5 linked regions of the Sus scrofa genome follow. The protein of the gene in region 4 purifies or fractionates together with the protein of the main gene of each other region. This does not show direct contact. Links are inferred from orthologs where the notes say so. Each region holds a gene or a part of one and is shown on either strand. Other genes may lie near its edges.

Region 1 (6,146 bases), on a different chromosome or scaffold from region 4:
GTCCTGTTATAATCTAAGCATATTTAGAATTTTATTTTTTCTAAAGGCAGTAAAAATTTCTGAAAAATTTTTTTCATTTGGTCAAAAGAAAAATGTGGAAGTATGTGTCCTTATGTATCAAAGCTGTATTTATCACTCTTGAATACAATATTGCTAAAAATAAGATCGTGTTTTAATATTAAAACTGGAACACTCTTAATTGAGTTGAATATATTAGGAAAATTACGATAAGATGCATCTTGGAAATAGGTACCTTTGTGGTTCTTTTTAAAAATTTTTATTATAGTTGATTTACCTTTGAGGTTCTTATATTTAAAGAAAATTGGGAGTTCCCATCGTGGCTCAGTGGTTAACAAATCCGACTAGGAACCATGAGGTTGCGGGTTCCATCCCTGGACTTGATCAGCGGGTTAAGGATCTGGTGTTGCCGTGAGCTGTGGTGGAGGTTACAGATGCGGCTTGGATCCCGTGTTGCTGTGGCTCTGGAATAGGCCGGTGGCTACAGATCAGATTAGACCCCTAGCCTGGGAACTTGCATATGCTGCGGGAGCAGCCCAAGAAATGGCAAAAAGAAAAAAAAACCCCACAAAAAAAAAACAAAAAAAAAGAAAACTGAATGTGGGAAATAATGATGAATTAATTCTTCATAGTGGTTTTTTCCCCAAGCATTCATCTAATTGCAATAAATTTGAACGTATAAAATCTCACTGGTCTGTATGTGTTTTGTTTATTCTTTGTTTTTTATTTTTTTTCTTTCTAGGGCCGTGCTTGCAGCATATGAAGTTCGCAGGCTAGGAGTCAAATGGAAGCTGCCGGCCTACAGCACAACCACAGCAACGCCAGATCCAAGCCTCATCTATGACCTACACCACAGCTTCTGTCAATGCTGGGTCCTTAACCCACTGAGAGAGGCCAGGGATCAAACCTACATCCTCGTGGATGCTACTTGGGTTCTTAACCACTGAGCCGCAGTGGGAACTCCCTTACGTTCATTCCTTTTAAAAACCATGAATTGCTGAAGTAGTCCCATCAGTCTGAGCTGATCTTAGCTACATGGTTCAGTCTTCTCCCTGCCGCTTTCTCCCCTTCTGCTTGATCTTTGAAGTTGAACATACTTGACTTTTTTCTCCCCCAGGTTGAATTGACCAAAGCAATGGTTATGGAGAAGCCTAGTCCCCTGCTGGTCGGGCGGGAATTTGTGAGACAGTATTACACGCTGCTGAACCAGGCCCCAGACATGCTACACAGGTAAAACCTTTTTTTCCCAGGCAGCATTTATGCTATGTTTTAGTATGTGGGAACTGAAAATATGAGTGTATAACATTCATGCTTTTGTGTTTTTGTTTTGCTGTTTTTGGTGAATCATGAATCATGGAAGAATGAATTGAAGATAGGAGACTGTTCCAATAATGACATTCATCTATGTTGATACGCTTTAAAATATTGCCGTATCTTTTTAATGGAAATGATTTATGTTTATTGTAAATTAAAACATGTATGAACAAAGATGGAAGTCTTTAGTGAAACAATACCAGTACCAATTTCTTTATGGATCTGCACATAAATATTCACACACATATCTATCTATTTGGCTTTTTAGGGCCACACCCACGGCATATGGGGATTCCCAGGCTGGGGGTCCAGTTGGAGCTGTAATTGCTGGCCTGTGCCACAGCCACAGCAACGCCAGTCTGAACTGTGTCTGCGACCTACACTACAGCTCATGGCAGCGTCGGATCCTTAACCCACTGAGCGAGGCCAGGGATCAAACCTGCATCCTCAAGGATACTAGTCATATTCGTTTCTGCTGAGCCATGACAGGAACCTCTATCTGCACATTTTTTTAATATACTGTTTAGCTGTTTTACTTGATACCTGATGATTTTACAAGGGTAGTACATATGTTAATTTTAGTACATATATTAATTTTAGTATCCACAAAGTTAATTTCCAGGGATGTAGCATGTACTTTAATCCTCTAATAAAGAATAATATGTGGAGTTCCCGTCGTGGCGCAGTGGTTAACGAATCCGACTAGGAACCATGAGGTTGCGGGTTCAGTCCTGCCTTGCTCAGTGGGTACGATCGGCGTTGCGTGAGCTGTGGTATAGGTCGCAGACACAGCTTGGATCCTGTGTTGCTGTGGCTCTGGCGTAGGCTCGATTAGACCCCTACCTGAAACCTCCATGTGCCATGGAAAAAAAAAAAAAAAAAAAAAAACAAACAAACAAAAAAAAGAATAATATGTAAATTGCTGCCATTATTTCCTCCTACAAACAGTGGTGCATTATACAAAACTTTTAAGTATTGTGTTGGACTTTACTAGAATATTTCTTTTTTTCTCTTTTGTCTTTTTAGGGCCGCACCCACGGCATATGGAGGTTCCCAGGCTAGGGGTCTAATTGGAGCTGTTGCTGCTGGCCTACGCCAGAGCCACAGCGATGCTGGATCCGAGCTGTGTCTGCAACCTATACCATAGCTCACGGCAACGCCGGATCCTTAACCCAGTGATCGAGGCCAGGGATCAAACCTGCGTCCTCATGGATACTAGTCATATTCAATTCCGCTGCACCTTGACAGGAACTCCTTTTTTTGTCTTGGACTTTACTAGAATATTTCTTAGAAATTCTGAAAATGTGTATTTGCTGGGCCATAGCTACTTTTTCTTCTATACTTGGCTAGCTTGCCTATTGGATACCACGTGAATAATAGGTGTAAATGAAATTCATTTTGAGCCCTTGCTCTGAAAATGAAAAAACATCCCTTGGCTAGTTTTTTTAAAGGCTTTACAATTTCCAAAACACTATTTTACCTGTTTCCTTTTTTTTTTTCCTTCCCTTTTTTTGGTCTTTTTAGGGCACTACCTGCAGCATATGGAAGTTATCAGGCGAGGAGTCAACACTGCAGCTGGCCTACACCACAGCCACAGCAGTGCGGGATCTGAGCCATATCTGTGACCTACACTACAGTTCACGGCAATGTTGGATCCTTAACCCCACCGAGAGAGTCCAGGAATCCAACCTGTGTCCTCATGAATACTAGTCAGGTCTTTATTGCTAAGCCACAACAGGAACTCCTTTTTCCTCTTGATCTTTGTAAAAACCTTCTAGTAAGGCATTGTAGTATATGAAGTTAATTTCTTTTCACAAATGAAGGTCCTAAGGGGTGAAAATTTGCTGGTATCCACACAATTATTGAGCGATGGAACAAATCTGTAAGCTTTTTTCCCCCCTTTTTATTGCTTTTTTGTCAAAATTGTATTTTATGCCCTTAGAAGTTATAAATTTGGAGTTTAAAATGCAGGTATTGAAACTAACCAAATACATTAATATATTTCTTGTCAGTATTGTTTATTGATTCATTTTTTTTTAAACATTTAATCTCTGAGTTACATTTCGATGCAGTGAAAAGTGGCTTAGCCAGCAGTGAACTGATTGACTGGCTGCAGCCTTTAATAACTTTTAAAAGTTAAAAGGCAGTTTTGGGATCTTCAAGGGCCCAGATCCATCCCTTTTGGCGGGGGCAGGAGGAAAAACAGGATGTAGAATGACATGTATATATAGGCTCATTCATGAAAAACTGTTCATCTGGAGTACAGGTGTCAAGTAATCCTAGTAGTAATTATCCCTGAATTACCGCATCCCGTGTGTGTGTGTGTGTGTGTGTGTGTGTGTGTTGGGGTGGGGTTGGCACTTTCCTAACCAGTACTAATGAAAGCAGTTGAGGATGTAGATGAATTAAAGCTATGGAGAAGCTCTTAATACATAAGTGAAAATTGTTAAACTATTAAACCCATTTGCCTGACTTACCGGGTTTTTAATGAGAACTCATCCCATGCATTCTTAGATGGAAAAGGATTCTCCAAGACTGTAGAGTATAGATAACCTTATCTACATCAAAACTGCCTGTGTTCTCCTTTGAATGGAAACAGAAATTTGTATTTTGAGTGGTCTTCCTAACATGAACTACAAAATCCTTCCCAACTGGATCATCCAATCCTGAGTTCCAGACTTGTAAAAATTTCTCGACCAGGAGTTCCCATTGTGGCTCAGTGGTAAAGAAGACCTGACTAGTATCCATGAGGACATGGGTTCAGTCTCTGGCCTCCCTCTGTAGGTTAAGGGACCAGCATTGCTGTGAGCTGTGGTATAGGTCACAGATGTGGCTTGGATGCTGTGTGGCTGTGGTGTAGGCTGACAGCTGCAGCTCCAATTTGACCCCTAGCCAGGGAACTTCCACTCGCCACAAGTGCGGCCCTAAAAAGTGAAAAAAGATTTTCTTTTTGGATGAAATTGACTCTCATTCAACACATGTTGCCACATGTATGGAACAGATACATCATTGTATACAAAGATGAAAAAGAAAACATTCCTGCCACCAAGAATGTACCTGGGAGGCAGATAGGTAACGGTCATGAACAATAAATAAGTAGTCTTAGGACATTTTAAGATGACAAGTGTCTTTCTGTTTTACAGATTTTATGGAAAGAACTCTTCTTATGTCCATGGGGGATTGGATTCAAATGGAAAGCCAGCAGATGCAGTCTATGGACAAAAAGTAAGTATAGCAAGCTTTACATAGGCTCTTAAGCAGCCAGAAAACTCGTAAGATTGAGGTGGGTACATGCTTAAGAGGTTTGTTGCTATTTGAAGATAAAATTTTTCAACCTCTATTGAGAAATACAGGTATTTAGTAACTGTTTGATTTATGTGGTAGTCATTGAAAAGCTTATGATGTCACTTTTATTCACTTTGTATGATACTCTGAGATAACTTGTTTTGGCCTGGGGATCTGTTGTAGAAATTTTTTGGTATGTTAATTTAGGAAATTAGTTTTAAAAAGCTCAACGTGATCACTGGGAATATGCTATTAAGACAAATTATAAGGGGGGTCTGTGTAGTTTAAATGTGAACACGTAAATTCTCTGTATTTGTTGTGTAAGAAAATGTTTTGTTCCTGGAGATGTGTAAGTGTTAAGGTATTAGCTCTTGCCTTGACTCCTTAGGAAATCCATAGGAAAGTGATGGCTCAGAACTTCACCAACTGCCACACCAAGATCCGCCATGTCGACGCTCACGCCACCCTGAATGACGGCGTGGTGGTCCAGGTGATGGGCTTGCTCTCGAACAACAACCAGGCTTTGAGGAGATTCATGCAGACTTTTGTCCTTGCTCCTGAGGTACGAAAAAAAAGTGAAGTTGTACATGTCTTTTTAAAAACTTTAAAAAAGTTTTTTTGGTGGCTGCGTCTGCGACATACAGAAGTTTCCTGGGCGAGGGGTCTGATCTGAGCTACAGCTGAGGCCTATACTGCAGCCATGGCAATGCTGGATCCGAGCCGCATTTGCAACCTACACTGTAGTTTTTGGCAGCGCTGGATCCTTCACCCGTTGTGTGAGGGCAGGGATTGAACCTTCACCCTCAGATACTGTGTCAGGTTCTTACCCTGCTCAGTCGCAACAGGAAATCCTTACCATTTTTAATTGTAAACCATTTGAAAAGTAAATTGGAGATATGATGCCTAGTCATCCTCAGATCCCCAAGTGAGCATTTCTTAAGAATATGAAACTGTATTCCAGTGCCAGTATAGTTATCAAGTTGAAGAAATATTTCTGTTATAAAATTATCCGTCTACAGTCCTTATTTAAATTTTGGTTATTGTCCCAATAATATTTTTTGTAGTGATTTTTTTTTTTTTTTTTTTTTGCTTGTCCAAGATTCAGTCTATGGTTACACATTGCATATAGCTGTCATGTCTCCTTAGGCTCTTTTATTATTTCCTTTGGATTGGTTTTAGGTTATAAGTGTTTTTGAGTGCCTCTTATTAGGGAGGCACTTGATGTTATTTGGTCCTGTTATTAGTATCAATTAAGATGTTGGTCATCAGGTTTTGCCACTGTAGCATTAATACTATTTTCTTGCTCAGTTAATGGGGGCGAGTCTTTGAGACTATGCGTATACCTTGGTCATCAAACTTTTATGCACTAGTTTTAGCACTTAGCTGATCCTGGCCAGAAAAATGGCGATCATCTAATTCTGTATTTATTTATTGGGCTACTTCTGTAAAGAACTTTGCCTTTTCTCCTATCTATAATGGAGTCTTTATTTAAAGGATTTAGTTAATTACTACCTTTTTATCAGTGCCTT
Region 2 (6,146 bases), on a different chromosome or scaffold from region 4:
TGCGGCGACTCTAGATCCTTAACCCACTGAGCAAGGACAGGGATCAGACCTGCTTCCTCATGGATACTAGTCAGATTCTTAACCCACTGAGCCACAGCAGGAATAGTCGTGTCCTGTCAGACTTTGTACACGTGCAGATATAAAATACATATTTGTTTACAAAAATGGACATTCTACATGTAACACTTCTCATTATCCATCAATGTATATTTACATTGTAATTTTTAATATATTTTGTTGTAAAGAGTTAACATGATTTTTCTTAACCACTTCTGCAAGACATTTAAATTTTTTTAATGCTTCTATGAGTAATTTTATACATCTATAAAATTCTAAATTTTGGTCATTTCCCTGGTATATGTTCCTAGAAATGAAATTTCTGGAATTCCCGTCGTGGCGCAGTGGTTAACGAATCCAACTAGGAACCATGAGGTTGCGGGTTCGATCCCTGGCCCTTGCTCAGTGGGTTAAGGAGCCGGCGTTGCCATGAGCTGTGGTGTAGGTTGCAGACGTGGCTCGGATCCCGCGTTGCTGTGGCTCTGGCGTAGGCTGGCAGCTACAGCTCCGATTAGACCCCTAGCCTGGGAACCTCCATATGCCACAGGAGCGGCCCAAGAAATGGCAAAAAAAAAAATTTCTGAGTCCAATAGATTAACAAAACTCCTAATTGGCATGGTCACATAGCTTTGCAGAGGGCTCATATCAGGGATTGACAAACTTTCCATAAGAGATACACAACAAATCTTATTAGGCTTTGTGGGGCATAAGGTATCTGTTGCAACTGCTCAGCTCTGCTCTTGTAGCAGAAAGCAACCAGTGTGATACTTCATAAGCAAGTGGGTATGGGTAGTAGGCTGTTAACTCATTTAGCCCAAGTTTGCTGGTTCTTGACAGACATTTAGATTCGCCTTTAATGTTAGCCTTCTCAAAGAAGGCTTACCATTTTCTCAATCCACTTGTTTAAACTGTTTCATAGTTTATCTAGAATCCAGGTACAGTTCCTGTTTTAGATAAAAAAAAAAAAACTGTGTCCTGGTTTTACTGACTTGTATTCTCCTACAGGTATGGTTTGGAGTGCCTTTTTCGATACTATAGCTATGGCCTGGAAAAGAAATTTCGGCTGGACATTTTCAAGGACTTTGAGGAAGAAACCGTGAAGGACTATGAAGCTGGTAAGAGAGTTGAGGCTCTTTGAGCCCTGGTCATCCTGATCTTATGTTCTCTGCCCTGCACTCTGCCTGGTCTGTATCACATCACACCTCCCTCTGTCAGCCACCCAGCTTCTCTCTACCTCTCTCCTCTTTCCCTGCAGGCCAACTCTATGGGCTGGAGAAGTTCTGGGCCTTCTTGAAATATTCCAAAGCCAAAAATTTGGACATTGACCCCAAACTTCAAGAATACCTCGGCAAATTCCGTCGCCTCGAAGACTTCAGAGTAGATGTAAGTGGAAGTCTCTCATCTTCCCCACCCTGGTTGTCCAGGAAAAGAAAACCGGACCAGAGATCAGGATACCTGTGTTCTGATCCCAGCTGTGCCACTAGCCTGGGGACCCTTCCCACTCCCGTTTGGGTCTTAGGGTTTTTTTGTAAAATAAGAGTGAGGAGTAGGTGGCGAAGGCTAATAGTAGGATATGTGGTTGCTCCTCCCTCCCCTTCCTATGATGGATGTGCCTAAAACATCGTAGTGCTCCTTCCTTCTTATCACGCAACCCTCCTTGCTGCTGTGCCTAGTTACAGCTGATTAATGACAGTGAGTACCCAGTGTTAATGTTTTACTCTTTCTGGGAGAGATAAGTTCCAACCGGAGAAGTTTATAAATTATATTCAGTTCTTTGCCCTTCCATCCACGTCTTCCTGACGCAGTGACTCAACAGTGACATCCAGTGGTGGGTCAGAGTTATTGCTACTGGTTCTTTGTAGGTGCTGCAGGGACCCCAGAGATAAGTAAGACTTTCTCCTTTAGAGAATTTATAATGTAGTAAGGATATGCCAGTCGTCTTAGTTCCTTGAAACCTTTTCGAAAAGAGCAAATAGAAGTAAATAATAGTTATTTAAAAATTGGTATTGATTGTTTACTATGGGTCAGGCACTGTGCTAGGCCCTTTACCTTGACCTTATTTAACCTTTTTAATGTGAAGCAAGCAGGGTTTATTGTCAGCATCCCTGTAGCAGTGGATGAACTGAACCCCATGGCCACCCATTGAAGTAGTGGCAGTGCTGCTCAGGTTGCCTGATGGGATGATGAGTCTATTGACTTCTGTCCTGAAAGACTTCTCTAGTACGGGCCTGGAGGGGAGCGCCTGTGTAGAGAAGCCTTGTAATAGGAAGACTTGTTGAGGGTAGAATAAGAACGGCTCAGCTTTGGTGGCCAGAAAGGGAGGGAAGTGTCCTCAGGGTTACAGGACCTTTGGCAGTCGTGAGGCCAGACTGGATCCTAGTCTGACCCTTTGGGAGTTGCCACTCTAGCCCAGCAAGTTAAGGATTTGGTGTTACCGCAGCTGTGGCTTAGATTCCATCCCTGGCTGGGAACTTCCAGATGCTGTGGCTGAAGCCAAATCCGGAGGGGGTGGAGGTGGGAGAGGAGTGTCCTTTTTAGGGCCTCAAGGGGGATAAAGGCACACCTGGGCCTTCTGAACTGCGGAGTCTCAGCATATTGTAAACGACATTCCATTTATCATTTCTTGAGCAGTGACCCCTTCTTAGAAGGGAAGCAGAAACTTGTAGAGATAAAGTCCAGGACTTCAAAGGTAGATGGACCTGGTCCAGATTTAGTCTTCACCAGTTACAAATCATTTTTCTGTGCTTCATTGTCCTTATCTGTGAATTCAGATGGTCACGTGTCCATCAAAGTGACCATGAGTGAATACGTAGAAATCAGCACAAAGCTTGGATCTTGGTGTGGAGCTGTGCTCAGTGAGACTAGTAACTACTTCTGAGAGTTAGAAGCCTATTCATTATCTACCCTGGGAGCTGGGAAATAGGGGGCGTCTCTAAACAGCTCTGGCAAGCAAGGGGATGTGGATAGTGCTCCCTTATCACTTACGACTCCCTCCTCTGTTGCAGCCCCCCATGGGTGAGGAGGGCAACCACAAGCGACACCCAGTGGCATCAGGAGGTGGCAGCGGTGAGGGCAGGAAGCGGTGCCCCTCCCAGTCTTCCAGCAGGCCCTCCACCATGGTCAGCCAACCCCCCACACCACCTACCGGCCAGCCCACCCGGGAAGATGCTAAATGGACAAGCCAGCACTCGGACACACAGACTTTGGGAAAGTGAAAAGCCCCTTAGCTCTGGGGTCTGGGGGGGGAGAAGGGGTGGAGGGAGTAGATGAAAGTCCATGGGGTCCCCAGTCCCGGGAGAAGGGACAGAGGAGGGACAGGCCTAGGGTCATTAGCACGGGCCTTTGTGCTGAGTAGCAGTATGTACACCATTTGGGCTATCGGGTGCCCCTGGGCAGGAGCCTCCACACATCCCTTCCCCCTTCTCTCTCCATGACTCTTCTTCACATCCTAGCTTCGGGGGGAGGGGAAGGGGGAAAAGTTTTTTTTATATATATATACATATATATATATATATATCAAGTTTTAAATTATTGATAGCTCGTCTGGATTACCAAAATCACTCTGCAGCCCTGCCCGCGGCTGGTAGGCCGCAACCCACTTCCAGCCGCCTCCTGCTCCCCTTCAAGCCAACTATGCAGCCCACAAGAAGGCCCTGTGGGGCCCCATTGCCCAGCACTGTCCCATGGAAGGCTCTGGCAGCGTCCCTGGACCCCACGAGCACCGGCCCCTTGACCATCTGGGGCTTGCCGTCACCGTGTTCTCTCCCCGCCGTCCCCACCACACCCTTCTGCCATCCTCTGGGAGAAGGAAACCAAAGGATCTAAAGGGGAGGGGCTCGCTCCACTCCCCTCTCCCCGTGCCCCTTACTCCCCAGCCCAGAAGGACGCTGCTCGTACCAGAAAAGACTATTGAAAGATGATTTATTTTATTTTTCTCAGACCTTTCCATCCTTGGGAAAATGGGGGGGGGAAAAAAAGATAAAATCGACCATAAAAGACCAAAAAAAAAAAAAAAAAAAAAAAGCATCAGAAAACCCCCACCTAATCCACAAAAAAATATCTTTCCTCTACCCTTGGATTTTTTTTTTTTTAATTTTTTTTTTTTTTGGTTTGTTCTTGGAAATAATATTTTTTTAAAAGTTGCCTTATTGTGGAGTGAGAATCTGAAATACCCAAATGCCTGTTTTCCTCGGTGGAGTCAACTTGAAGAGCTCCCACCTTCTCTGGATGTGCCTGGGCTGGATTGGCTAGGATCTTTCTCTGGACTGAGTTGCATGTACAGTGCCTCCTGCCTGTAGGCAAGAGAGTTGGGAGCGGCTCAGATCAGAGCCGTGCCTGAAATATCCCTGCTGTTGCATCATTTGAAGCTGACGTCCTGTGTCTGTACACTGCTGCCACTGTTGTGTCCTCGCTCTGCTTGCTGTTGCCTCACGCCAGGCCCCATCCTGTTGTGACACCCTTCATCCTACCCTTGGAACCCCAAGGCCAAGTTTGCTTCAAACTGTTGGAGGACAGCGTTGGCCTGGATCTGGGGCACACTCGTCCTCAGCTCGACCGTCTCCCCCACCTCAGAGGGGAAAACTGAACACTGGACAGCTGAGGCTTGGAAACATTTCTAAGTGTTGCCATGAAAGATTGGTGAGACCTCAAGGAGGCTTTGTCTCATAAAAGGTGGAGAAAGATGCCGTTCTCCCTTGGGCCGGGTGGGTATGCCCATCTTGTGTTCCCCTCCCGCGCAAGCCATTTCCACCCACCCTCCTGTGGACCCCACCTGCGAAGGAGACGAGGAAGCTTTGAGGGTGGGGGCGTCCTGCCGGTTGGAGAAGCCCCTTGGCAGGACGGCGTATGTGGACATGGGGTCTCCCCGACTTCTCTTCTCCAGCCACGGATTGCTTGGCTCGGGCTGTGACTGACAGTGGATTGGCTGGAGTCTCCTCGCATCCAAAGCTAGGGAGGGTGACTGAAGACCAACCCTCACAGACTGGGCCACGTGCCAGGTGCGGGTGTGATGACACATTTGCCCTGTGGTGGCAGTAGCCATGCACTCAGATTTCTTGGCGTTTTTTTCACTTGCTTCCTCTGTTGGGCCCTGAGGTCGGGAGGAGGAGACAGTATCTCAGGCTGGCAAGGGCTTGCCCCATCTTGGGCACTTCATTTCTTTGGCCGGTGCCCTCCCTGCATCTCTGTCCTCCCGGTGGTTAGTATGGGAAAGCCCATCTCAGTTCCTGTGAGCCAGTTGTCTTGAAAGCCAAGGTTGAGTGACCTCTGCTTTGACAGTGGGGTCTAAGGCCTCTCCCTGCCCAGTCTGGTGCCTGCCCCACAATGTACCAGACACTGGACTGTTGCACCCCGTCCTCTTTCCCTTCATTCCAACCCTTTTCCTTTGGGTCTCTCTCAGCCCTGTACTGTATCCAGCACCACAGAAACCTCAGTGTTTGTCCTCTGTGGGGTTTGGGGGCACAAGGAAGCCTTGGGGGTGTGGGGGTAAGGCTCTTAGCTAGAGCTTCCTCCCAGGCCTGGGGGCTGCCATTCTCTGCCTGATCCTCCCCACAGACACCCAAAAAGAGGCAGCCCCTTTGGGTGGGGAGGTTAGGACTTCATCTCAAAACAGGCTGAGGATGGGGGGAGGGGAGAGTGTTTTTCTTCCTTTTTTTTTTTTTTTTTTTTTTTTTTTTCCTTTTGTAACATGTTAGGAGTTATTGTTGCGAAGAGTAGTTTACATCTTCACTTTCTGAAGACACTTGAATTTAGGACCGATGTATCTGTGACAAGCATGCCAGGAGTAGCAAGGGCCATCAGGGCTTGCCACTTCATACCCACCATCTTCCATGGGGAATCCAAGATCTGAGCAACAAAGCAACAGCCTGCCTAAATCCTTCTGTTCATCCCGTGCCCTCCCAAGATGGGTCCATGCCAACACCACTTTTGAGCATCAAACATCACAAGGTCTGTACACCTCAGCCGTGCAGAGGGGCAGGTTTCTCTCACTTGCTCCTAAATCCAGGAGTAAATGCACTACCATGTAGAGAAGGGCTGCCCCAGCCTGCACCCCCTTGGGCTCAGATCGAGGTGTGAAGCCCCCATGTCAA
Region 3 (6,146 bases), on a different chromosome or scaffold from region 4:
CCAGAGCCACAGCAACTCAGGATCTGAGCCGAGTCTGCAGCCTACACCACAGCTCACAGCAATGCCGGATCCTTAACCCACTGAGCAAGGGCAGGGATCGAACCCGCAACCTCATGGTTCCTAGTTGGATTCGTTAACCACTGAGCCATGACAGGAACTCCTAAAACACTAATTTTTTAGTAGCTAGTCTAGTTAATTCCCCATTTCTTTTTTATGTGTGGAGTCGTCTTTGCTATTCTTGCATGGTTATTTTCTCTGAACTTTAGAATCAGCATGTGAAATTACACAAATCTTGATATTTTAGAGATGACATTGAATTCATGAGCTAATGTAGAGAAATGAATTTTCTTGTAACTTGTTTTATTCAATAACAAGGTTGTCTTTGAGTTTATTGTAGTTTGCCTATTCTGTAAAGATACTTTTCTTTTTTTTTGTCATTTTAGGGCCACACCTGTGGCATATGGAGGTTCCCAGGCTAGGGGTTCCATTGGAGCTGTAGCCGCTGGCCTACACCAGAGCCACAGCAATGTGGGATCTGAGCCATGTCTGTGACCTACACCACAGCTCACGGCAACGACTGATCCTTAACCCACTCAGTGAGCTCAGGGATCGAACCCTCATCCTGATGGATGCTAGTTGGGTTTGTTAAGGGCTGAGCCATGACAGGAGCTCCTAAAGATACTTTTAATGGTTGCAGAGTATTCCGTCATGTGGCTGAACTGCTCTGGAACAGAGAAAAGATTCCAAAAGTACACTCCAGAGATGCTTGAAAATTAAGCTTTTGATGAAGGCGATACTTCAAATATATACGTGAAAGACAAATTGTGCTGCTGACATAGCTGGCTAGTTGTGTGGGTGGGGGAAACAAAGACTGGTTCCTGTCTTACTCTTTATGCTAAAATATATTTCAAATATATCAAAGACTTACAAGTGAGACAATAAATATGAGGGGGAAATTTGACAAATAAAAATCTTAGGTTGGTAAAAGATGTTTTAAGCAAGACATGATACCCACAGGCCCTAAAATAGGAAATTAAATTTAATTATATATAGATTATAATATTGAGGGGCTCATAAATTTATATGAAGTAAAGTAAAAATTAGGCAATTTGTAATACATGGCAGTGAGCTTATTTAATATCATAAGAGGGGCCTCTTAAGAATGAGTAAGAAAAAGACCAGTGTTTTAATAGAAGTATTTGGAATGACTCTGAATAGGTACATTTGGGGAAATGTATTTAACCTTACCTATAATTAAATGCAAATTATAGTTTCTAGAAAGATGTAACAGTGGGCACTTCTAGAAGGTAGAATGGCAGAAAGGCTTGTTTATCTTCCCTTGTGCTGCTGCTCCCCTTGCTCTGCCATAGAGTTACATAGAGACTTAAAATGGGTCCGAGTCCCTGCTCTTGAAAATTCTGATATAATTAGACTGAAGTAGAGCCTATGCATGGTATTTTTAAGCCTCCCAAATAATTCTACTCTAGTCATGGCTGAGAACTACTCTTTTTTTTTTTTTTTTTTTGCCTTTTCTAGAGCCGCTCCTGTGGCATATGGAGGTTCCCAGGCTAGGGGTCTAATCAGAGCTGTAGCCACTGGCCTGCGCCACAGCCATAGCAACGCTGGATCTGAGCCGAGTCTGCGACGTACACCACAGCTCACGGCAATGCTGGATCCTTAACCCACTGAGCAAGGCCAGGGTTCGAACCCGCAACCTCATGGTTCCTAGTCGGATTCATTAACCACTGCGCCACGACGATGGAACTCCTCTTTTTACTCTTTATCCCTGTGCATGCTTCTCTAGTACTAAGGTACTGTCAAAGACATTAATGTGGAGAAATGCAAATCATGTAACAAGTGAAAAGCAGATCATAATTCTGTTAAAAATATATACATACTTTGAAAAAAGCAGAAGTTATTTTCATAGCATTTACTTCTGGGTTGCAGTGACCTTGTCCCATATTTCCAAAAGGTTAAAACAGAAAAATATAATCATGTTTTGCTTTTATAATGAAAATCTTTAGCTTAAAGTTTTAGGGTCTTTCCTCTCACCTAGATAATCAACCATGTATAAGGGTAGGGTCTTGTTTTTGTATATAAATTAACGTTTGTTAATATATAATCTAACAGTTATGGCATTTACAAAATGAAAATTTCATTTCATCAAAGGTCTTAACTGCAAAAATTTTTAAAGGAAGGACAGAGAAAGGAAAGCAGCCAGCAAGGTGCTTGGAAAACTGAATTGTCATTATTGACTGACTCTCATTATTACCCAGAGTGTCCTGTTGATAAATAATCCCTGGTTTTTTTTCTGGTGAGGAATTAATTCACTGTGTATGAGAAAGGTAACAAGTGTCTTTGCATATCTGATTCAAACAGAAAATGTTGCTCATTTAATATAACTTTAAACTTTGGAATCAGCCACATAGGCACATAAGCTTTGCTGGGTTTATGGATGATGCGTAAACTGACATCAAGATAAATTCCTGGACAAGAAGTGATTTTTTCCTTTAAAAACTTTTTTTTTTCCCCCAAAGCAACCTAAACTGGTCCCTCAGATGGTGAAAACCATCAAGTCTTCATAAGCTGCTCCCTTGGTCTTTAAAAGGAGAACTATCAAAGTCAGTTTTATAAAACACAGACTTTCCTAGAATGTTTTTTTTTTTTTTTTTTTTTTTTTTTGTCTTTTTGCTATTTCTTTGGGCCGCTCCTGCGGCATATGGAGGTTCCCAGGCTAGGGGTCAAATCGCAGCTGTAGCGACTGGCCTACGCCAGAGCCACAGCAACGTGGGATCCAAGCCGCGTCTGCAACCTACACCACAGCTCATGGCAACGCTGGATCCTAACTCACTGAGTGAGGGCAGGGACCGAGCCCGCAACCTCATGGTTCTTAGTCGGATTTGTTAACCACTGAGCCATGACGGGAACTCCCCCTAGAATGTTCTAATCACCTTATCAGTAAAGATAAAATCTTGAACACTGAAAGTGAATATTTAAAATACATTTAAAAATTCATTTTAGTAACAGCTGATACCATAATTCACTGATGTAGACAATGACAGACTTATTGTGATTATTTTAGATATCTTGTAGGAACTATATCTGTAAGTTCTAAGGCAAGTGAACCAAGTGAGGGGGAAATCAAGCAAGGGAAAATAAGTGGACTCCTGTAGTCTCTTTTGGAAATAGGGACCAAATTAATTGACTTCTCTCTTTCTCTGTGGTTCCAATTGGGGACTTCTCCCCTTATTTCTCTTCTGATTTGTATGATAGGCTTAATTTATTTTCAGCTTAGTTGGAGGCTATCTATCTATATAAAACCAAAAATCTGTTTCAAAGTTCATATTTAGGCAAGAGTAAAATATTTTATAGAAAACTTGAGTAAAAACAGTGCTTTCTTAAAAAGTCTATAGGACAATAAGGTAAGGCTGCGGTTTTTTGTTTTTTTAGTGCTAGTATACAACAAACTTCATGAAATCTATGTTGCTTTAACTTGTTACAAACTTGATCTAATAGGTTTATTTTAATCTATTCCTAATCAGTTTCTTAAAATTAGCAATTTTAGTGTGAGAAGATGATGCATATTCTGGTCTCTACAATAGACAGAAGCACTTTTTATTACAGAAAATCAAGGTGTTGGTACATTATACTTGCCTGTGTATTGTTTGTGGCCAAACTGACAATGGTCATCTTGTTTGACTATTTAAAAAACAAAGCAAAAGAATGTATATATATGTATGACTGGATCACTTTGCTGTACAGCAGAAATTATTACAACATTGCAAATCAACTATAATAAAAAGTGCATCAAAAAAACACACAAAGCAATGTGAAATTACAAATGGTATATTTTTATTAGATGTCGGACTGAATATGAAGTTAAAGATCAAGCTGCTAAAGGGGATGAAGTGACTCGAAAACGATTCCATGCATTTGTACTCTTTCTAGGAGAACTTTATCTTAACCTGGAGGTAAGGTTTTCTTCTGTTCAGTACTGACAAAGCCTGAGAATACAAACTGATCTCAATGAGTGATTTGTATTCATATTAGTCCTTCACAACATTAAGAATGAAATGGGAAAGGAAGAAAATAATGTCTCAGTACCGCCTTATGGTAGTGTCCTTTCTCTAATGTACCAAATGTACTGTTTTTGTCTTCCTGTTCATGGCAGGATGTTGGAAAATAGTCACTAAGCATGTTAAAGTCTTTATGTACTTTTGGAAAGCCATGGTTTACATGTGGGTTTAAGCTTTTGGAATATAGATAATCATGCCTTTTTGAATCCTTGCATCATAAGTATTAATACATTTAATATGTTGAGTTTCAGGTGGTGACTTAAAAGCAGCTTGCCCTGTAGAGCACAAGCTTTGGATAAAGAGGGGGGAGACTAGAGTTTGTGGATCTTTTCCCCTTAATTACCCACAGTAGCTCTTTTTGGTCCCGTTTTTATATATTAACCTTCCATATAAACTGTATTTGTACAAAGTCTCCAGCTTAATTGTTGGTATACTTGAGTGTATGCTTGTTGGTAGGCAGTGTAAATGCTGAATATTACTTTGTAATGTATTTGCTTGATTTTTTTTTTGGGGGGGGGGCGAGTTATATCTGGATAAGCATACCTTCTTAAACTCTGATCTTTTGAGAACTCAGTATTGTAAACTCCTGAAAGGACACATGAACCCATCATCAAATGTGCATCACAGTCAGTGCATTTAAAAGGGTTGTGTCCAATCTCATGCCTCACTTATCCCTTTTTACCATAGAAGGCCTTATTTTAAAATAAAAAAATCTCATGCCTTAATCTTTTTCAGGTTCATTTTTCTTTTTTTCTTTCAGGGCCACACCCAAGGCATATGGGAGTTTCTAGGCTATGAGTCAAATTGGAGCTGCAGCTGCTGGCCTATGTCACAGCCACAGCAATGTGGGGTCTGAGCCATATCTGCAACCTACACCACAGCTTACCCGCTGAACCACAACAGGAACTCCTCAGTTCCATTTTTGTATAAGCCAAATAAGAGCACCAATCTAAAATGTGCCTTAAATGAAGAGTCACTTTAAGAATGTTGTCATGAGTTCTCTTGTGGCCCAGCAGGTTAAGGATGCGGCATTGTCACTGTAGCGGCTTGGCTGGACACTGTGATGTGGCTTCAAAATGGCCCAGGAACTTCCACATGCCACTGGTGCAGCCAAAAAAGAAAAAAAATGCTGTTGTACTTCCCATGTAGAAGTAGTGATGCAGTGTGTGGGAAGTATAAAGATAAGATATGGCTCCTGAACCTACAGTTCTTCAGGCCAGAGAGCTATGATACCTCTTCCATTCTGATGAAGGTTTTTTTTTTTTTTTTTAATGATTTTCTTTCTTTCTTTTTTTTTTTTTTTTTTTTTTTGCTATTTCTTTGGGCCGCTCCCGCGGCATATGGAGGTTCCCAGGCTAGGGGTTGAATCAGAGCTGTAGCCATTGGCCTACGCCAGAGCCACAGCAACGTGGGATCCGAGCTGCGTCTGCAACCTACACCACAGCTCACGGCAACACCGGATCATTAACCCACTGAGCAGGGGCAGGGATCGAACCCGTAACCTCATGGTTCCTAGTCAGATTCATTAACCACTGCGCCACGACGGGAACTCCATGATGAAAGTTTTTTTTAAAGAGTATAAAGAGCTATGTGTCCCCCAAAAGGGGTGAGCTAAATAGGCTAGCGAATGCCTTATGAACATTATAGAGGCTCAAGTTATTCTGAGCATATGTTTTGTATTATTTATTTGCTTTTCATTTTCTTTTGTCTCAAAGATCAAAGGAACAAATGGACAGGTTACAAGAGCAGACATTCTTCAGGTTGGTCTTCGGGAGTTGCTGAATGCCCTTTTTTCTAATCCTATGGATGACAATTTAATTTGTGCGGTAAAATTACTGAAGGTAGGTTTTACTTATTTTTTCCTTAAAATTTAACTGTTTCGTCTCTTTAGTGTATAATTTAGAAGAGGGAAAGTATGTATGGTACACAAATGAATTCACCATAAGTTATTGCTTTAAGTATTGCTTTTTTTTTTTTGGCTTTTTAGGGCCACACTTGAGGCATATGAAAGTTCCCAGGCCAGGAGGTCAAATTGGAACTGCTGCCGCCGGCCTATGGCACAGCCACAGC
Region 4 (6,146 bases):
CATGTGCTTTGGTGTGGCCCTGAAAAGCAAAAAAAGAAAGAAACACATACCAAATGGGGAACTGCCTTGGAACTAGGCAACAGGGTGTGATAATTTTTTTTTTAATGCGGGAAATGACTCTGAAGTCTAAAAGTTCCCTTAAGATAATCTCGTGCCATAGCCCAGCATAAACTAGCAGGTGCTTCGTGTCTTTGTTTATTCTTCCCTCTGCCTGAAATATCCTTCCTGTTTCCTAACTTTGGAAGGCATCAAAAGGTTGACCGCAAAGTGTGAGCTGGGGGGGCGGGGGTGGGGGGGCAAAGTATCAGAGCAATGCCTCTGGTCTCCAGGAAGCTGTACTTAGTCATTTTAGAAGCATGCACTCTTTCTTCTCCTTGCACCTGTTTACGTGGAGCATTTTGTACAGCTTGTGTGGTGGTGGTTTACATGTCTGACTCCACACTGGATTATAATTCTATTGTGGGCTTAGGAAATGGTTTGTCTTTCTGTAGCCCGGTGTCCTTGACCCCCAGATAGCAAAATAGTTTTTTAATGAAAAAAAGAAGACATTTGGAATAGAAGCAGCCTCATAGTGGCTGCCATTTGTAAGTGGAACATGACTAGGTACCCACTGTAGTCTCCTGCCTTTTGACCGTGGATGGGTTAGAGGCTTCTCATAGGTCCTGAGCACAAGCCCACACAGCTCTCAAGTTTCTGGGGCTGAACAGTGGTGCTGAATGGCCCGCCTTGTCTTTGACAGGTGGTGTGTGATGAGAACGGCTCTAAGGGTTATGCCTTTGTCCACTTCGAGACCCAAGAGGCTGCCGACAAGGCCATCGAGAAGATGAACGGCATGCTCCTCAATGACCGCAAAGTGTGAGTGTCCCAGTCCGGAGCAACAGCCATCGCATGAGCCAGCCGTGGCCCCACCTCGGTATTAACTGGCACACACAAGGCGGCTACTGGTTCTCTCGGCCCAAGAGTGGCCTGCTCCTACCTCTCCACTCCAGGGCTGGTGAGTCTCCCTGCCCGAGCTGTGGCAGCCCTTTGACTCGCCAAGGTGGGCTTCCTGCCCAAGCCATGGCCGGCCTGCCGCCTCTCCCTTAAAAGCATCTGTCTTTGGGTTTTGTGAGCATCTGGGGCTGGCTGGAAGGCAGCTCTAAGACCACTTAAGTGGGGGTCTTGGCCAGCGGCAGAGTGGAGAGGGCCCTGGACTGACCAGGAGCTTTATACTAGTCGTGTGACCTTGGCCTTCCTCTGACTCAGGTCTGTCCATGGGGTCACTTGCCAGGGATTGATGCCAAATTGTCCCCTCCACTTGGCTAACTTATGACTCAGTGGCCTTCAAATACAAGGCTGGCTCCACAGTACTGCTTAATTTGGTTATAATGGAAAATCCCATCTGGTTGCAGAACCCTATTCATAACAGACCTTGTTGATTTGGTGTGGTTGCAGGACGGAGAGATGGGGTCTTAGTTAAGCCATGCAGGGAGAGGAGAAGGGACAATAAAAACAAATCCTGGCTATGACAAAGTCATTTCTGTCCTTTGATATTGAACGGATGGGTTGTATTGATGATATGTATGTATCTGGTAGTTAGGTCTTCTAAAGGTATCACTAGGAAGAAATCTAAAGATTCTTAATGTGTGGATACCTTTTCCTGCTAAGTGTAAACAGCACCAAAATGAATTAAGTGAAAAAACAAAGGCTCCCTCTTGGCTCACTCCAGCAACCTCACTCCTAGGCTTAACAGTGTTAACAGTTTGGTTTGTATCCTTCCAGACCTTTTCTATGCATTTACATAGATGCACAGAAATGAACGTTTTAAAAACATGGTCATCAGGTTTCTTCACGAAGGCAGTGTGATGTGGTAGGAGGAGCCCTGGTCTGAGCTGGGGGCCCTGGGGCTGGCCCTCGCAGGACAGTCCTGCCTCTTTTCTTTTTCTGCTGGGGAGTTGGGGCATCTCTGAGCTTGCTCTTGGTGGTTGGATGGGGACATGTGTGTTTTAACCTCTCCTGTCAGCCTTTAACCTGCGTTGCCTTGGGCCCCTGGAAATCAAGTTCTTTTCCTCTGGGTGATGACTGTTTCCATGGTTTCTTTTTAGGTTTGTGGGTAGATTCAAGTCTCGAAAAGAGCGAGAAGCTGAGCTTGGAGCCAAAGCCAAGGAATTCACCAATGTTTATATCAAAAACTTTGGAGAAGAGGTGGATGATGAGAATCTGAAAGAGCTCTTCAGCCAGTTTGGTAAGTTGAGGTCTTTTGCCCTATGTGTCTCTTTTCATAGTCCAGTAGACCTGGAATTTGTCTGTTTTTATTTACTTAAGAGATGGGGGCGCCTAGAGGCAGAAGTAAAATGCCTTGCATGACAAAGGCCACAGGGTAGATAGGAATAGACTCCAGGCTTCGGCTCTTGGCTTCATCCTACCTCGTCTTATCCCCAAGGCCCTCTCAGCAGCTTGATCAGAATTAGAAATTCAGGCATGCACTCAAAGGTGCCTCTTTCTTTGAGTCCATCTCAGTTCAGCAGGAGGGTGCTTCAGGTGGGCTCCTAGAGAAGCCTACTTTCCTTGAGCTGTGGTAGAGATTCTGTTACTAATAGTTCTGTCCTTTGGTAATAGGTAAGACCTTAAGTGTCAAGGTGATGAGAGATCCCAGTGGGAAATCCAAAGGCTTTGGCTTTGTGAGTTACGAAAAACACGAGGATGCCAATAAGGTGAGAGTACCACAAGGGTTGGGAAAAATTTGTAGGGAGTGGCCCCAGTGTGTGGGCAGGGCCTTGCTAGCACATAGTAGAGTGGAGCTGAATTGAATAGTAAAGTGGAGCTGAATTGTTTGAGTCCCTAGTGGTAATGTACAGTGTGCCCTGGGATTGTCTTCCTGAGGGATTTTGCATGTTAATACAAGTATTTTCAGGGTACTTGGTATATGCCTGTTAGCCAGGCTGTTGAAAGAATAGGGCAGGCATTTGGTCATAGGTGAGGGAACCAAGGGCCTGGAGTTGCTGATTCGATAACAGAACAGCATCCACTTATGGGTTAAGCATTGTGCTAGGCCTTCAGCATAGATGATTCAGTACCCACAAGAGAACCTGAGAAATTTCGTGACAGCCAGATGATCAACCTAGGCTCATGTCTGCTATGCTTGTGTTTATACACCTGGACTATTCTTTTACTCACATCTGGACCAGTAGTCCATTTAAATACCAACCCCATTTTACTGATGAGGAAATTTGGGTTGGCTTAGCTGACTTCAGAGACGGGATAAGATTAGTTTTTAGCCCTATAGGGATGATTTCCTTCTCTCAGAATATTCAGTGGGACTTAATCAGACCTCCAGAGCAAGGCCCCTGCCTCCGCACCTTGATTTAAAGACATGTGTTTCCTCTTTAGGCTGTGGAAGAGATGAATGGAAAAGAAATCAGTGGGAAGGTCATTTTTGTCGGCCGTGCACAGAAGAAAGTGGAACGGCAGGCTGAGTTAAAGCGGAAATTTGAACAGCTGAAACAGGAGAGAATTAGTCGCTATCAGGTGAGAGGTTTTCTTGGCCCAGCCCGCCAGCAGGCCACGTACCATGAGATGTTGGCAAAAACAGGCTTAGTTTAGCAGGCTTCTTCCTCTTTGAGGACCTTGAGTCTGCTCTTCCTCATTTCTCCCAAGATTGTCAGGCTTAAAGGATATATGTACCAGATACAGCAGCAATTCTAGAACAAGGACAAGGGAGGTTTTTTCATTTTAGGGACTCTATTCTGGAAGCCTTAGTCTGTTCTTTTGGCGCTTTTTGTTTTTAGGGCCGCACTTAGGGCACATGGAAGTTCCTGAGCTAGGGGTCGAATAGGAGCTGTAGCTGCCTGCCTATGCCACAGCCATGAAAATGCCATATCCTTAACGCATTGATTGGGGCCAGGGATCGAACTCATGGATACTAGTCAGATTCTTAACCCACTGAGCCACAGTGGAAACTCCTGGGGTTTTTTTGGCCACACCTGCAGCATGTGGAAATGGGCCAGGGATTGAATCTGACCTGAAGCTTCGATTAGGCCACAGCTGTGGCAGCACCAGATCTTTAACCCACCAAGCCACTGCAGAGATTGAACCCGAGCTGCTGCAGAGACAGTATGGATCCTTAACTTGCTGTGCCACAGTGGGAACTCCCAGTCTGTTGTTCTTAGTCCTGTGGGTTCCTTTTTTCTTAAATGATACTGCTTTGTTTGGAATGGTGATAAGGAGGCCCTGCTGGGTCAGTGGTCAGCCAGGGCAGCTGTGAGGAATGCTGAGACTACATCGATGGTCCTGATAGTCTTAAGGTAGTAGTTTCTCAGCTTCATACTGCATCAGACTCCCCTGCAGGACTTGTTAAAACAGATTGCTGGGCCCCAAAATTTCTGATTCATTAGATGCAGGTTCTGGCTTGAGAATTTATATTTCTAACAGGTACCCAAAGGTACCACTGCATGTCTGGGGATCATAGTTGGAGAATCATCGTCTTCAGGAATGTATGAGGTATAGAAGTGCAATTAACCGTGATCTTTTTGCTTCAGGGGGTGAATCTCTACATTAAGAACTTGGATGACACCATTGATGATGAGAAGTTAAGGAAAGAGTTTTCTCCTTTTGGATCAATCACCAGTGCTAAGGTATTTTATACTGAGATTTTGGGGTTGAAGCAGACGTTGTAATCTATTTTAGAGGTTTATTGCATTTGTTTCATCTAAGGAGTAGGATCTAAAATTTTTTTTTTTTTAAGGCCGCACTCGCGGCATGTGGAAGTTTGAGAATTGGAGCTGTAGCTGCAGACCTACACCACAGCCACACCAGATCCAAACTGCATCTGCGACCTACACCGCAGCTCACAGCAATGCCCCATCCTTAACCTACTGAGCGAGGCCAGGAATTGAACCCGCCGTCCTCATGGATACCAGTTGGGTTCGTTTCTGCTGAGCCACAACAGGAGCTCCATAATCTAAATTTTGTCCGTTTCTGAGATTAGCTACTACATTAATCTAGCAAATTTCTCCTGGCTTTTCCAGTTACTCATCTGAGCATATACTCTGGAGAAATGACATTTTATTAGGTTAGCATTTCACTGTCTCCCAAGCACTGATGGGGCAGGGTTGGAGATGAATCGGACTCAGTGTTTCCCAGAGCACCTGAATCTTTCCCATTCTTTGCTGCTTCGTGCTGGTGTGGGGACAGATGGTGCCACAGTATGAGCAGAGGAAATCCAGACGGGTTGTTTCCTGTTTGTCTTGGGACCTGTCTCTACACCTCTGCCACACTTCTTTGAGTGGAGGTATTTTGAGGATTTTGGAGCAGAGGTTGGGAACTTCCTGTCTGGTCTCATAAAGGAGGAGAGGGGAGGGGAAAGTTTGTTTTTCCATGTTTTGCAGTGTGCATTGTCTACTTGATTTTTTTTGATAATCATATCAACTGAGTTAGCCGGGTGAGTGAGTATGAACCATCTTTTGAAGATGAAGCGTTTTCTCCTTGAGCAGGCCGCCGTGCGTCCTTAGTGCTTTGTGTGTGTGGTGGGAACTGACAGCATCTGAATATTTTGGGTCATAGCTGATGCAGACGCTATTCCTGCTCCTCAGAGGTGTGGCACGTGTCACAGAGAGCTCTTAGGGCAATGAGTGAGAAAGGAGGCCTGGTGGGCCAGTGGAGGCTTGATGGCCCTATCTTGCTTGGCCCTTAACCTGGGAGCATTATCAGCTGCAGCAGGGTGTTGGCCAGAGCTGCCATCAGAAATTTCCTCAGTTCCTCACCCCCTCCCTTCTTCTTATCACCCCCTTGAGTCTCCAGCAGTGCAAGGAATGATAGTCTCGCCTAGCTGACCAGGACAGGAGGCAAGACAGCATTGGCCAAAAAAGAGCAAGAGAACCATATCTTGAGGTTTTCCAGGCACCACTTTTAGGATCATGGTGTCACATTACTTTCACACACCTTACTGATCCACCTCAATGGTAGATAATTGTTGGGTTAATACACATCTTTACTCCGAAATCCTTCACGTCAGGAGGCTCTCCAGGCAGTGAGCTAAGACACAGATGGGATGGTGCCAGACACACATGGTCATATTGCTACCAGTGCTGGTAGGCCAGGGAAAGCAAGAAATGACCTTTTCAGGTGAGGAAAAAGCCTCCTGTGGATGACTTTGTATGTAGGAGACT
Region 5 (6,146 bases), on a different chromosome or scaffold from region 4:
GGTTGCAGACGCGGCTCGGATCCCTTGTTGCCGTGGCTCTGGTGTAGGCCGGTGGCTGCAGCTGCGATTCGACTCCTAGCCTGGGAATCTCCATATGCCGTGGGAGCGGCCCAAGAAATAGCAAAAAAAAAAGACCAAAAAAAAAAAATAAATAAACAGCCTTCCAATTCTGTACTTTTTATTACTACTTAGATAAACAAACAATGGATGCAGCCTGATTGTAGTAACTGTTCTGGTAGCTGCAGCCACTGCTGGCTCTTGAAACTTAAGATGCACTAAAGTCCCTGGATGTAAATGTCTATAGTCAGTTGGCCAAGGATGGGCACCTGGAAGAAGGCGGCCTCGTGTAGTGTTTTAAAGTTTAAGACTAACTATGATGTTTCCTTGTTTCAGATCTTTTGGTGATTTCTTGGCTGCTTTAAGATAACTTGGCTTAGGAGTTGCCTGGTGGCCCATTGCGTTAAGAACCTGGCGTTGTCACTGTAGTGGTGCAGGTCACTGCTGTGGTGTATAGGTTCGATCCCTGGCCCAGGAACTTCTGTATGCTACAGGAGCGGCCAAAAAATAATAACTTGGGTTAAGAGGCCCTGCAGAAATCTGTTGCCTGGCTTTCTAGACCTATTTCCCCACAAGGGTGCCCTGTTCACTTCATTCTTGCTCATTGTTGTATTATGCTCTTGGTCAAAAGGTACTCATAGGCCATACTACACTGTCCCAGGTTAGCCAGTCTATTTGTTTTGTATGTTTTGTTTTTTTGTCTTTTTAGGGCTGCACCCACGTCATATGGGGAGGTTCCCAGGCTAGGGTTGAATCGCCAGAGCCACAGCAACACCAGATCGAGCCGCATCTTCGACCTACACCACAGCAACGCTGGATCCTTAACCCACTGAGCGAGGCCAGGGATGGAACCCGCAACTTCAGAGTTCCTACCTAGTTAGATTCGTTCACCACTGAGCCACAACGGGAATTCCAAGCCAGTCTATTTCTTGACTCTGATTTTTACTCTTTCATTTTGGATTCTCAGGAGCAGTTTTTACCATCATGAATGTCAAAAAGTGGTATAGGTGTTGAACAGTAAAGTGCAGGTGTGAGGGAATTAAGCTCCCTGAAGAAACAGTGTTGAGGAGTTTCCACTATGGCACAGTGGTTTGAGTCCAACTGCAGCAGCTCCAGTGCTGTGGAGGCTTGGGTTTGATCCCCGGCCCAGTGCAATGGGTTAAAGGATCTGGTGTTGCAGCAACTACAGCTTGGATTCGAGTCCCTAGCCTGGCAACTTCCATGTGCCTCTGGTGCAGCTGGAAAAGAAAAGAAAAAATGTTAATGTCAGCAGCTGTCAGGTCCTTATTCATGGGAGATAGTGACATAACGAAGAGCGTACTAAGCTTAAGTGCGCCAAATGATTGCGGGCATGGCAAAATGAGATTTAAGAACAACCTAAAATGCTGAGATTTGTGCCTGAGATTGAGGACTTAAACCTACCCAGTTGGAGATGTCTGGGTAGATATTTTATCAAGCTTGAAAACTGTAGCAGTATATGCATCTCTGACTTCAGACTGACCCCAAAGAAACATTGAAGATATGCATAGACAGCTTTGTTTTGTGTTTAGAATTGTGAGCCTGAACGTTCCCACTGCGGATGGGGCCGTAAGCAGCTGTATTCAGTGAGACTGTTTCAGAGGAATAACATTTAACTGTGGATAATATTAGAGATACTTTGAAGCATGATTATACTAGTGGTGAATGCAGTGAAATTATCAGTGATTTGTTTGGTGGTTGTGCTTTTTTTTTTTTTTTTTTTTTAAGTATTAATCTCTTTATGCAGTCAAATTACCTATTGGCACAAGTGGTTTAACTAAAAATTTCTTTACATGATGCTCAGACAGCTTCATAGCTTTCATAAAGTTGTCCTGGAGTTGAGCAAAAGTTCAGACCAAAGTTAGACTGTTAGTTTGATGACAGCTGAAATTAGGTTAATTATAGTTAGAATTTGACTTCCTACTGGTTTGTTTGTGGTCTTTTTAGGACTGTATCCTCAGCATATGGAGGTTCCCAGGCCGGGGGGGTCGAATTACAGCTGTAGCCGCTGTTGCCTGTGCCACAGCCACAGCCATGCCAGATCTGAGCTGTGTGTGCAATTTACACCATAGCTCACAGCAGCGTGGGGTCCTTAACCCATTGATCGAGGCTAGGGATCGAACCTGCATCCTCATGCATGCTACTCAGATTTGTTTCCACTGAGCCACAAACTGAACTGCGTACTGTGCTGTCTTGTTATGGACTGAAACCCTAGGGCACTCTAGGATCTTGATAATTATAACTGTTCCCATTAAGATGTTACATTTTTTTTCTGTGTTACCTACTTGCTAGTAATGTCACATTTCAATTTGAGGCAGCCTTCTTCCAAGCTCCTTAGGTGACTACATGAATCTGTTTTCTGTGTATCATTCAATTCAGTTAACAAGTGGATTCTACCTACCGCCATTGTATCTACGATGTCTAGATAACTGTGACATTTAGACCAAGGAAATAGACACTGTTTTCCTTACTCGGTACTAGTTGTACATAGATGGATATTTGGGGGAATGGTGGCCTGCCAAAATTAAATCTTCTTAACTTTGCTCAAGAGAAAGAGACTGATAGAGGGCCAAAGAATAAAAAAGTGACCTCTGACGAATGAAGTCAGTGATTTGTGGGGGCTGGTTCTGCCTATTTTACAAGATCAGAGTTATCTATAGAAAATACCCTACCCCTGATCCCCACCTGGTTCTTAGAGAATTACAGGTACTGCTTGGCTCCTCCCTCTTTCCAATTTAATAGGTTTGAGGTAAGATCTGAAATTTTACATTTCTAGCAAATTCCTAGTCCATGCTTGGTTTTCCAGAAACTTCTAGTTAGGGATACATGTGAAGGATATAATAAAGTGATTTCTCTTGCGTCTACCTTTGCAATATATTTTACTTTTTTTCATTTCTTTTGTCTTTTTAGGGCCGCCCCCAAGGCATATGGAAGTTCCCAGGCTAGGGGTTGAATCAGCTGTAGCCGCCAGCCTCCACCACAGCCACAGCAGCATGGGAATCCCAGCCGTGTCTGTGACCCACACCACAGCTCATGGTAATGCCAGATCCTTAAGCCACTGAGTGAGGACAGAGACTGAACCTGCATCCTCATCGATGCTAGATGGGTTGGGTGACTGCCGAGCCATGGTGGGACTTCCCATTTCACTTGTATTTTCATGTGTGGCTTTTAAAGAATTAAAATGGTTTCTCGAAGAAGTGAAACAGAGTAGTCTGGCCTGTTCCAGTTTATGTTGTTTCTTGCTTCTTTGATTCTTTGACAGAAGACGTAAGTTAGTGGAAAACGAGCAGCTACCTCTGTGGGACTGTGAAATGAGAAGGGTGGTCACATTTAACCTGCAGACAAGATAAAAGACCATCTGAGAGTTTCAGTTGGGGACCGTATCTATAGGCAGCCTTCTTGTGGTACCACCCTGGATAATTTTATGGTCATACAGGCTAGGTCTGCTTCCTTCGTGTTCGCGTAGATGGAGTAGAATAGCAGAATACACTGCTAGTCTAGAGTGCTCCTTTGTTACTGGTAGAATATGTGGATCATGACTCCTTTGGGTGCTGCCTTCAGTCTTTCGTAATCCGACTTGTGGTTCTTTGTCTCGCAGGTATTTCATGCATGGGGTTTGTAAGGAAGGAGATAACTGTCGCTATTCACATGACCTCTCTGACAGTCCATACGGTGTAGTGTGCAAGTATTTTCAGCGAGGGTACTGTATTTACGGAGACCGCTGCAGGTAAGAATTTGTTTGTAAATCAGTTTTGTTCCGGGGTGAATGGAGACACTGGGAGAAAAAAAATGAGAGTAAAATACGTAATTCTGACAGCATCATAAATGATAGATTTAAAACAGTACTTTGCAAAGTGCTCCCTGGGAAAGTTAGCACATCAACAAATCTCTCCCTTGCAGGGAATGTATTACATTAAAAAAGGAGTTCCCACCGGGACTCAGTGGGAAGGAACCTGACTAGTATCCATGGTGAGGATGCAGGTTTGATCCCTGGCCTCACTCAGTGGGGCGGGGACCCGGCATTGCCGTGAGCTGTGGGATAGGTCTCAGATCTGGTGTGGCTCTGGCTGTGGTGCAGGTCAGCAGGTGCAGCTCTCATTTGACCCCTAGCCTGGGAACTTCATATGCTGCAGGTGTGATCCTAAAAAGCAAAAGCAAAAAAAAAAGTGTATTAGTACAGTCCTAAGTTTAATTAGTGCCTAAGGAACAGTTTCTGCAAACCTAGGGACAGGGCGTGGTGATGGTATATTTGTAAATGGCTTTTCCTTTCAAGACCGGAATGAGGTGCATATTTGACCAATTGGGACTAGTTTCAGTTATTCTCTATTAGTATGAATTATGGTGAGAAAAGTGGGATCATGCGCACTAGTTACTAGTTAAGAGGGTTTGTCCTTCCAACTAAACTTTCCTAAACTACCTGAGCTCACAAGAATAATTTTTTTTTTTTTTTTTTTTTTTTGTCTTTGTTGTTGTTGTTGTTGTTGCTATTTCTTGGGCCGCTCCTGCGGCATATGGAGGTTCCCAGGCTAGGGGTCTTCGGAGCTGTAGCCACCAGCCTACGCCAGAGCCACAGCAACTCGGGATCCGAGCCGCATCTGCAACCTACACCACAGCTCACGGCAACGCCGGATCGTTAACCCACTGAGCAAGGGCAGGGACCGAACCCGCAACCTCATGGTTCCTAGTCGGATTTGTTAACCACTGCGCCACGACGGGAACTCCCTCACAAGAATAATTATATGCTAAAATTTAGTGGAAATACTTTAGAAATATCTCTAGTATCTCTCAGAGTATTGGAGAACCAAGAGTGATTCGTTATTAAGTAATCTCTATCTTCCCCTAACTAAGACCTAGGGGTCTTAGTTACCTATTGATGTTAAACAAATTAATGTGAAAGTGAGCAGTTTAAAAACAACAGTTGGAGTTCCTGTCATGGCTCAGTGGTTAACGAAACTGACTAGGAACCATGAGGTTGCGGGTTCAATCCCTGCCCTTGCTCAGTGGGTTGAGGATCCGGCGTTGCCATGAGCTGTGGTGTAGGTTGCAGACGTGGCTCGGATCCTGCATTGCTGTGGCTGTGGTGTAGGCCTGCAGCTACAGCTCTGATTAGACCCCCTAGCCTGGGAACCTCCATATGCCACAGGTGCGGCCCTAGAAAAAGACAAAAAAAAAACACCAAAAAAAAAAAAATCACACATAGTTTATTATCTCATAGTTTCTGAGGGGTCTGGCCTCTGGGGGTACCTTAGCTGGGTGATTCTAGTTCAGAAAGACTCTTTAAGAGATGAGCAGTCAAGGAATTCCCCCCGTGGCTCAGTGCTTAACGAACCCGTCTAAGATCCATGCATATGCAGGTTCAATCCCTGCCCTCGCTCAGTAAGTTAAGGATCCTGTGTTGCTGTTAGCCGTGGTGTAGGTCACAGACGTAGCTCAGACCCTGCATTGCTGCGGCAGCTACAACTCCAGTTCTACCCCTGGCCTGGGAACCTCCATATGCCTCAGGTGTGGGCCTAAAAAGACAAAAAAAAAAAAAAAAAAAAAAAAGATTGCAGTCAAGATTTCAGCAAGGGCTACCATTACCTGAAGTCTTGGTGGGGGCTGGGCCATCACTCTTTTGGCCACAGAAGTTCCAGAGCCAGGGGTCAAACCAGTGCCGTAGCAGTAACCGGAGCCCCAGCAGTGACTCTGGAGATCACTTTCTTTTTTTAAAGGGCTGCACCTGTGGCACATGAAACTTCTTGGTCTAGGGGTAGAATTGGATCTGCTGATGCTGGCCTACACCACAGCCACAGCAACACCAGATCCGAGCCTTGTCTGGAACCTACACCACAGCCCACTGGATCCTTTAACCCAGTGGGCAAAGCCAGGGCTCTAACCTGCATCCTCACCAGTCAGATTCTTAAGCTGCTGAGCCACAACCCCTCAGGGATCACTTTTTAACCTGGCTCACTCCCACGTCTGTGGAAGGGAGTCTTAATTTCCTCGCCACAGGGACCTTTCCCCAGGGCTGCTTCAGTGTCTCTGCACTTGGCAGTTACCCGTCCCCAGAGGAAGTGATTCAAGAGACAGCA

What was found.
Region 1: the proteins of PABPC4 (region 4) and G3BP1 purify together in Homo sapiens (affinity purification with mass spectrometry; 4 studies listed by BioGRID and IntAct, with this or other methods). This does not show direct contact. The link is inferred for Sus scrofa from reciprocal best matches to the Homo sapiens genes PABPC4 and G3BP1.
Region 2: the proteins of PABPC4 (region 4) and LARP1 purify together in Homo sapiens (affinity purification with mass spectrometry; 3 studies listed by BioGRID and IntAct, with this or other methods). This does not show direct contact. The link is inferred for Sus scrofa from reciprocal best matches to the Homo sapiens genes PABPC4 and LARP1.
Region 3: the proteins of PABPC4 (region 4) and PAIP1 purify together in Homo sapiens (co-immunoprecipitation; 3 studies listed by BioGRID and IntAct, with this or other methods). This does not show direct contact. The link is inferred for Sus scrofa from reciprocal best matches to the Homo sapiens genes PABPC4 and PAIP1.
Region 5: the proteins of PABPC4 (region 4) and MKRN1 purify together in Homo sapiens (affinity purification with mass spectrometry; 3 studies listed by BioGRID and IntAct, with this or other methods). This does not show direct contact. The link is inferred for Sus scrofa from reciprocal best matches to the Homo sapiens genes PABPC4 and MKRN1.

Annotation. Positions count from the first base shown.
Region 1 is NC_010458.4:71,261,598-71,267,743, reverse strand, and holds part of G3BP1 (ras GTPase-activating protein-binding protein 1), read left to right. Parts: intron 1-1,135; 5' UTR 1,136-1,153; coding exon 1,154-1,248; intron 1,249-4,475; coding exon 4,476-4,557; intron 4,558-5,005; coding exon 5,006-5,179; intron 5,180-6,146. UniProt on the Homo sapiens protein: Protein involved in various processes, such as stress granule formation and innate immunity. Plays an essential role in stress granule formation.
Region 2 is NC_010458.4:68,391,480-68,397,625, reverse strand, and holds part of LARP1 (la-related protein 1), read left to right. Parts: intron 1-1,062; coding exon 1,063-1,172; intron 1,173-1,312; coding exon 1,313-1,440; intron 1,441-3,062; coding exon 3,063-3,272; 3' UTR 3,273-6,146. UniProt on the Homo sapiens protein: RNA-binding protein that regulates the translation of specific target mRNA species downstream of the mTORC1 complex, in function of growth signals and nutrient availability.
Region 3 is NC_010458.4:28,111,666-28,117,811, reverse strand, and holds part of PAIP1 (polyadenylate-binding protein-interacting protein 1), read left to right. Parts: intron 1-3,859; coding exon 3,860-3,971; intron 3,972-5,791; coding exon 5,792-5,917; intron 5,918-6,146. UniProt on the Homo sapiens protein: Acts as a coactivator in the regulation of translation initiation of poly(A)-containing mRNAs. Its stimulatory activity on translation is mediated via its action on PABPC1. Competes with PAIP2 for binding to PABPC1.
Region 4 is NC_010448.4:95,388,458-95,394,603, reverse strand, and holds part of PABPC4 (polyadenylate-binding protein 4), read left to right. Parts: intron 1-739; coding exon 740-855; exon of another isoform or gene 856-994; intron 995-2,084; coding exon 2,085-2,224; intron 2,225-2,598; coding exon 2,599-2,693; intron 2,694-3,369; coding exon 3,370-3,507; intron 3,508-4,517; coding exon 4,518-4,613; intron 4,614-6,146.
Region 5 is NC_010460.4:9,338,933-9,345,078, forward strand, and holds part of MKRN1 (E3 ubiquitin-protein ligase makorin-1), read left to right. Parts: intron 1-3,673; coding exon 3,674-3,802; intron 3,803-6,146. UniProt on the Homo sapiens protein: E3 ubiquitin ligase catalyzing the covalent attachment of ubiquitin moieties onto substrate proteins. These substrates include FILIP1, p53/TP53, CDKN1A and TERT.